2 linked regions of the Sus scrofa genome follow. The protein of the gene in region 2 interacts with the protein of the main gene of each other region in a pairwise test. Links are inferred from orthologs where the notes say so. Each region holds a gene or a part of one and is shown on either strand. Other genes may lie near its edges.

Evidence for each region.
Region 1: the proteins of VPS33B (region 2) and VIPAS39 interact in binary tests that used the Homo sapiens proteins (3 or more experiments, as listed by UniProt). The link is inferred for Sus scrofa from reciprocal best matches to the Homo sapiens genes VPS33B and VIPAS39.

Annotation. Positions count from the first base shown.
Region 1 is NC_010449.5:100,493,129-100,496,696, forward strand, and holds part of VIPAS39 (spermatogenesis-defective protein 39 homolog), read right to left. Parts: intron 3,392-3,568; coding exon 3,299-3,391; intron 2,622-3,298; coding exon 2,588-2,621; intron 2,084-2,587; coding exon 1,981-2,083; intron 1-1,980.
Region 2 is NC_010449.5:55,839,075-55,843,425, reverse strand, and holds the start of VPS33B (vacuolar protein sorting-associated protein 33B), read right to left. Parts: upstream 2,815-4,351; 5' UTR 2,470-2,814; coding exon 2,374-2,469; intron 1,158-2,373; exon of another isoform or gene 1,102-1,157; intron 1-1,101. UniProt on the Homo sapiens protein: May play a role in vesicle-mediated protein trafficking to lysosomal compartments and in membrane docking/fusion reactions of late endosomes/lysosomes.

The sequences.
Region 1 (3,568 bases), about 45 Mb from region 2:
AGTTCTACCACCAGCAGCCTCCTGAAAACACATGGTGGATCAGGCATCAGCAGTGTCCACACATGGTGGATCAGGCATCAGCAGTGTCCGATCCCTCTACCTGAGTGAAAAGCAAGGACAAGGAGACATCGCAGGGCACTAGCAACTGTAACGTTACCAGGTCTGACAGAAAGGCTCAGCGCCTCCACCAAACCTTAGCCCACAGTAGTCTCCTGGGTTATTTTTAAAAGATGAAAACTTGGAGTTCTTGTGGTGGCACAGAGGTAACGACCTGACTAGTAACTATGAGGATGTGGGTTCGACCCCTGGCCTTGCAGAGTGGGTTAAGGATCCGGCATTGCCGTGAGCTACGTACAGTGTAGGTAGCAGATACGACTCAGATCTGGAGTTGCTGTGGCCGGCACTATAGCTCTGATTCGACCCCTAGCCTGGGAACCTCCATGTGCCGCGGGTGCAGCTCTAAAAAGACAAAAACAAACCACAAACAAAAAAACAATGAAAATGCTTCTCTGTCAGTACAATCTTGGAAACAGATTGTCTGTGTTGTCCTCTGTTGTTTTCATGTTCAGCAAACAATGTGTTCTGTCTCTCCCCCAAAGGTGGCAAGGCCTTGGAGAACAAGGACTTTTGTCTTCTGATTCTGTCTTATTCTGAATGGACCACTAAAATTAACATCACTACTTTGGTACAGAGGTGATGCTTAATAAAGCCTTGTTGATTGGGAGAGAGGGAGAGAGGAAGGAAGGAAGAAGGGAGGGAATGAGGGAGGGGTGTGGGCAACAGCCTGTCCTGGTGAACACATCTGCAAATACCTGGCTAATCATCTGTAACCTTGACCCCGACCAGGTAACCTGCTTTCCCCACCTTAGTCTTTGGGGCAGCTAATCACTGTGCTGGAGACGCTGGGTAAATGGAGTTACCCTGAGCCACAGGTCAGCCTAAACAGAGGTTCCAATTGAAGAAAGGACATAATATACATACATTTTAATCTAAGAGTGGAAAAGAGTCCCTATTGACTAAAGTGAGATAGGAAAGGAAATCAGGATGGAAGACAGCTGTCCCGCTCCCCAAAACCCCACCAACCCCAGCCTCCAGCGGATATGCCCACCTCTGGCCTCTCTACCTACTAGAATCCTACCTAGTCTCATAGGCCCAGCTCAGTTCCTGACCACTTCCACAGGCCCTCTTCAGATATGCTGACTGAAAATTATATTTGCTTCTTCTGTTCTTCCACTGTGTTTCTCTCTGGCATCACCGGGTACCAAGTAATAAAAGATACCTTTATCCTAGGCCTTTTGTAAAGAAGTACTTAGTAAATACTAAAAGTACAGACGAGGCATTATGCCAAGTGCTTTACACACATTTTAAAAATTTTCTTTCTTTCCTTCTTTTCAGGGCTGCACCCATAGCATATGGAAGTTCCCAGGCTAAGGGTCGAATTGGAGCTGTAGCTGCCAGCCTACACCACAGCCACAGCAAAGCCAGATCTGAGCCGCGTCTGTGACCTACACCACAGCGCACGGCAATCTTGACCTACTGAATGAGGCCAAGGATCTGACCCAAGTCTTCATGGACACTGGTCGGGTTTGTTACTGCTGAGCCACAACAGGAACTTCCAATACACATTTTTTTTTTTTAATGTTCATAATGACCTATAGGGTAGATATCTCCATTTTTACAGATGTGAAAACTGAGGCTTGGAATGGTTAGGTAACTTGCTCCGAGTCACTCTATGAACTAAGCAGTGGGGTCAATATTCAATGCAGATGCTTGACTCCAGACCCTGGCTCGTAACCACCTGCTACACGGTCACCTTACCACAGGCTGTGGTGCAGTCTGAGTTATCCATCACCTTTCAATATCTCGTCTAATAAGCCTTTCCAGAAAAAAGAGAGTGTCTTCTCTTTCTTCGCATTATCGCCCAGAGTGCTTTGAACAAAGTATTTAACAAACTTTATAGACCAGATGATCAGTTCTTACCTAAAGAGGTCTAAGAGCAGCTTTTGATCCCCTATCTCCTTAAGGAAGTGAATGAGATGTCTCAGGGCAACCTGTCGCACCTCCAGCTCTCGGAAGAGGATCTCTGGCAGGCAAGAAGGAGGAGTTAGGTGGGCAAAGATTAGAGCCTATTACTCAACGGGACACTGGTCTCCCTACTCACACATTCCAAACATTATCTCCTCAAAGTCCATTAAAGGCTGGAATGGTTTCCATGGTGCCCATCCCTCTGGCTCAATCCACCAGCAGCAGACTCCTCGGTCCAGGGCAACGCTTAGCCTCTGTGTCAGCTTTCAGTTCGCACCAACCCAAACAGCAGCACCGAGCTGGACACTCACTTCCTCAAACCAACACAGCCACCCAACTGCCCAGTCCACGGAGGGGCTTTGTAGTTACTGCAGTTATCAGCCTAAAGGATGAACACCTGCCCCTGAGGGTTGTGAGGTGTACTCAGAAGTCTCAGGTCACCCCAGCTGTCCCAGAAGCAGACCTCATGCTGGTGAATTCTGGTATGAAAGCCACAGTGCCATTCTCCCTTCAAAGGTAGCAGACACTGTACCGACTGGAGATTTCCCCAAACTACACTCACCTTTGCTCAGTGTCCTCTTCAGGAAGATCAGAACCTAGAGGAAAAGAGAACCAAATGAATTAGCCTGTGTAACCTTCCAAACACAAAGCCCTGCCTGAGCACCTGATGTCTAGGAATAAAGTCAGCAACTCATTAGGAATCTCCGCAGGTCCAGACAACGGTCTCTCTTTGTGATGGAAGGACCAGCGATGCACATCTGGAAGTGGGATCTCAGTTCCCACAAGCAGGGATTAAACCTGGTCCTGGGAGTCCACATACCTGTGCCCCTACTGGCGAGAGCTGCCTCCTCCCTCCCTCTGTGAGAGCCTACTCCCACATCTCTCATCTCGCAGATTATTTCTAAGAACACAGAGTAGCCAACCTACTGCCTCTGGGTCATAATCAAGAGCACAATACACAATGTATGTCCTGCTAAGTGAGCCTTAGAATGTGGACTTTTGAGAACCCTCTACTTCAAGAAGGAAATCCAGGGAGTTCCCTGGTGGTCCAGGGGTGAGGATTCATTGCTTTCACCACTGCGGCCCAGGTTTAATCCCTGATTGAGGAACTAAGAACCCACTTCAAGATGTTGCCTGCCGTGGCAAAAAAAAAAAAGAAAGAAAGAAAGAAAAATCGAGGGTTTTACTTGCCATTTAACCTAAAATGTTAAAGTCTATCCTGACTGGACTTTCAGAAACTAATGTAGCTAATTAAATAAAAGCCACAACTCACTGCAGTAATGACGTTTCCATCATGCATGCTGACTGCTTCTTCCAGAAGTTGTAGCTTGTCCTGTAAGGAGCGGAATCTTTCCAGTGAGCAGACCTGGCAGAGTAAGAACAGAATTGGTATGTAAGGAAGAAGACCATTTCCTATATTCCTTTGTCACTGGACACTGAAGAATGGCTGAGAATGAACAGAAATGTCCTCAAGGAGAACCTCTCTCTTCTCACCCTCTGGTCCCAGCACTCGTTATGCCCTAGAAGATGCTAATGTCCTGAA
Region 2 (4,351 bases):
AGGTGTGAGATGGGGAAGGAGAGTCAAAATGATTCTAAGGTTTTCAAGCCTGACTAGCACAGCCCTAAGAAGAATTAAGTCAGAGGATGTTAGTTCAAAGATATTACTGCACAGAAATCTGCTTTGACCATGCTGATCACCCTTGTGGACAGCTCTTCCTCAGGACACTCCATTTACAAGTTTCTACCCTTGTTCTCATTTAGTTTCTTTCATGAGCTAGTGACTCTAACCAGCATCTCCTTTCAATTTCTCAGACCATTGGGGTCTTTCATGTGCCAATCATTGTGCTACCACTACAGGACACATTACAGAGAAATAAAATACGCACCTCCTCCCCCTCCCCCGCCACCGAGGTTCTCTGAGGTTCTTCACCCCACTGCAACCCTACATGTCTTTTCTTTTTTGTGTGTGTGGGCTTTTTTGTCTTTTTAGGGATGCACCCGAAGCATATGTAAGTTTCCAGGCTAGGGATTGAACTGGAGCTATAGCTGCCAGCCTACACCACAGCCACAGCAACGCCAGGTCCAAGCCTCGTTCGAAAGACCTATGCCACAGCTTGCAGCAATGCTGGATCCTTAACCCACTGAGCGAGGCCAGGGATCAAACCCGCATCCTCTTGGATGCTAGTTGGGTTCTTAACCCACTGAGCCACAGCAGGAGCTCACCCTACACTTGTATCTGCAGGATATTACAAGCAGGATTTCCTACTAGTATCTTAACCTCAACCTACCCGAACTTGAACACATCAACTTCCCCCACCAAAGCCATTCCTCTTTCTAATTTTTTTTCTCATTTCCATTCAATGGTTATACGATAATTTTTTTTTTTTCCCTAGGGCCACACCCACGGCACAGGGAGGTTCCTAGGCTAGGGGTCAAATCAGAGCTGTAGCCGCTGGCCTACACCACAGCCACAGCAACACGGGATCTGAGCCGCATCTGCAATGCCAGATCCTTAACCCACTGAGCAATGCCAAGGACTGAACTCACAACCTCATGGTTCCTAGTCGGATTCGTTAACCACTGAGCCATGATGGGAACTCCATGTGATAAATATTTATTAAGCACATGCTTAGTGTCTGTCTCTAAGTTAGGTACTCACTGGGTATACGGTGTTGGACAAAATAGGTATATCCCTGTCCTCAAGGACCTTCCAATCTAGCAGAAAATACAAACATTAAACAAATGACTATATATGTCATCCATTACAATTACAGTAACAGCATTATTTTCCTATTAACTCAAGTTAAAAATCTCAAACTCAGTTTTGCTTCTTCCTGATTCTTTTACAACTAATTGATAAGTCTTTGAGTCTTCTTTCACCATGACTTAAAAATCTATCAACTTTCTTTCACTTTCACTGCCATCAATTTTGTGTGCACCTTTATTACTTCAATCTGATCTATGTTCTCCTAACTGGCCTTCTTGTTTCTTATTTACTCAACTTCACACATGGCTATTAGAAACATCTTCAAGTATTGTTTCATGCCACATGTGGAAGTAAGAAAATTTTTTTGTTTTTGTTTTTTGCTTTTAGGGCCAAATGTGCAGCATAAGGAAGTTCCCAGGATAGGGATCAAATTGGAGCTACAGATGCCCACCAGCTGACACCACAGCCACAGAAACTTGGGATCCAAGCCAGGTGTGTGACCTACATCACAGCTCACAGCAATGCCAGATCCTTAACCCACTGAGCGAGGCCAGGGATCGAACCCACGTCCTCAGGGATACTAGTCTAGTCGGATTTGTTACCACTGAGCCACAAAGGGAATGCATGGGAGGAAAACTCTTTAATGGCTGCCTAATACCTACTGTGTAACTTCTGATCACCCTCTTACCTGTTGCAGGACTTATCCTTCCCTGGTTCCTCAACTTTCCTGCAGGTCCTTCTGCCTGGAACATCCTCTCCCATCTCCAAGGAAAATACGCTTATCTTCACACTCCAGCTCTTTGAAATTCCTAGATCACTCTAGCTAGAAATGATTGTTTCAGGCACCCTAGCTAGCACTTATTTACCACACATATTCTCTATGTAGTATTTTGTGTCATATGCTCCCACTGAAGTGTAAGATCCCTAAGGACAGAGATGTCACAACCATCTTTCCATTCCCATTGATGCCTGGCACTAGTGGCGTCTCCCTTGCCTGTTTGGGTAGGGGGTAGGGGGTGGGGGAAGGCTGGCCAGGTCACCCCACGGAGCTCTCACTGCCCTGATTTTTCTCCTGGTGCTTCATTTTGGACCTGCTCCAGAAGCTCCAAGGACAATACCAAGGGACAAGAGCACGCTCAAAGGAACTCAGTTAAGAAAGAACTATGCACCCAGTGAATGCTAACCTGCTGATACAGTAAAGGCCCCGGAGTGGCGGGCACTGACCTGCTCCAGCAGATAGATGAGCTGGTCTCGGGCCAGTCTCTTGAGCATGGAGAAGTCAGGCAGCTCTGGCGCGTCCGGCCGATGGGGAAAAGCCATGGCGCCGGTCACCTGAGCTGCAGGTGGAAGGAGGAGGAGGACCTCCGATCTGAGAAGGCCGGCAGCAGCCCAGGGTCCACGCAGGACGCCTCTTCTGTAGGGACCAGCACGGACTTCCAAAGGGCCCCTGACGGGGCCCTCGCTCTTCAACCACACGTGGGGAATGAATGGCGACCTCTTGCCCAGGCAGCCGCAGCCTCGGGGGACCTAGTCTCAGGCCCGTAGCCAAAGGGTTCCGCCCCGCCCCTCCCGGTCCACCTGGCTCAGCAGCATTCGGGGCTACACCCGCAAAGCTACCCGCCTCCTGCCGGAGAGAGCGAGAGAGGCGACTTCCTGGCCGTCCCGGAAGTCCCGAGCGCCCGCCTGTCGCTTAGCTTATTCAGAAAGGACGGCATCCTAGGAGGGACATTTGAAAACGAGCGCAACGCGTCCATGTGGCTGTCCAATTCCTGACCAGAGGCGATAAAAGGAGTATACCTTAAACTAACTTCTAAGGGTACATCCAGTTCTCCCGGCTCACTCAAGCAAACGTTGGGCACTTGCTCGATTTTCAGAATTTCGTGAAATGGGCGAAACCAACTCGGAATCCGAAGGGCACTGTGAGCCCTGGGGATTTTGGCTGTCAATCAAATCTACAACACAAATTTAGCTGAGAACTGGGCGGTCTCCTTTCTTCCAAACCGCTACAGGTGAGAGGCGTGGAAATTGCGGGCGGGTGTGAGGGGAGAGAAGAGAAACGCTTTTGGAGCCAATGGAAGCTGTCTCGCCAGCTGTGACCCTTCAATACCGGAGTTTTGACTTATTAATGCCCTTCGTGGGAAAATGGATAAAACGGTGGTATATTCATACAAAAATAACTAAGTGAAAGTAGCCAGACTCAGAGTGGCATCTGTATGCCATTTATATCAGGGTGGGGTTTTTGTCTTTTTAGGGCTGCACCGCAGCAAATGGAAGTGCCCAGGCTAGGGTCTAATTGGGGCTGCAGCTGCCCGCTTACACCACAGCCATATCCGACCCTCATTGGCGACATACACCGCAGCTTACCGCAACGCGGGATCCTTAACCCACTGCGCAGGCCAGGGATTGAACCAGTATCCTCATGGATACTAGTTGGGTTCTTAACCACTAAGCCATAATGGCAACTTCTATATCAGGTTCTTGAACACGAAACACTATACCGAAAAAAAATTTCAGAAAAGCTACAAAAATTGGGAAGAAAATTAGGGAATTTTCAGGAGTGATGGTAAATCTCTATATGTATATTTACCTTCTTAAAAAAAAAACTAAACTTACAAGATATTATAATGGACAGATCTGGCTGACAATACTTGTACTTACTAATCAGCTGTAACATCACATCATCATCTCCTGGTGAGATACATAGGAAATAGAAAGCATCACCTGTTGCCAAAAGCCAAAACTGATCAAGCTTCAGGATCTAAACTACCAGCTCATAGGAAACAGAGGTTAGTAGGAACATGATAAAAGACATCAGGAGTTCCCACTCTGACGCAGTAGGTTAAGAATTGGACTGCAGAGGCTCTGGTCATTGCAGAAGCTCGGGTTTGATTTCTGGGCTGGAGCAGTGGGTTAAAAGGATCCGGTGTTGGGGAAGTTCCATATGGCACAGGTGGGGCCATTAAAATAAAAAAAAAAATTTAATAAAGCTCATCTAGTATTTATTGAGCTTCCTCCCAGCCCTTCCCCTTAGTTAGATCAGAATCTCAGCTGCACAGAGGTAGAAGCTGCTCTTGGCAGATGAGTGACACATATATACCCTCCAGGTCATACAGTTTGCCAGACTCTTGAGCATGGCCCCAAGAATGCTGTGAGGTGCCCATTCCACTCACTTTCTCTCCAGCTTAGGCAGAATCTTGTCATC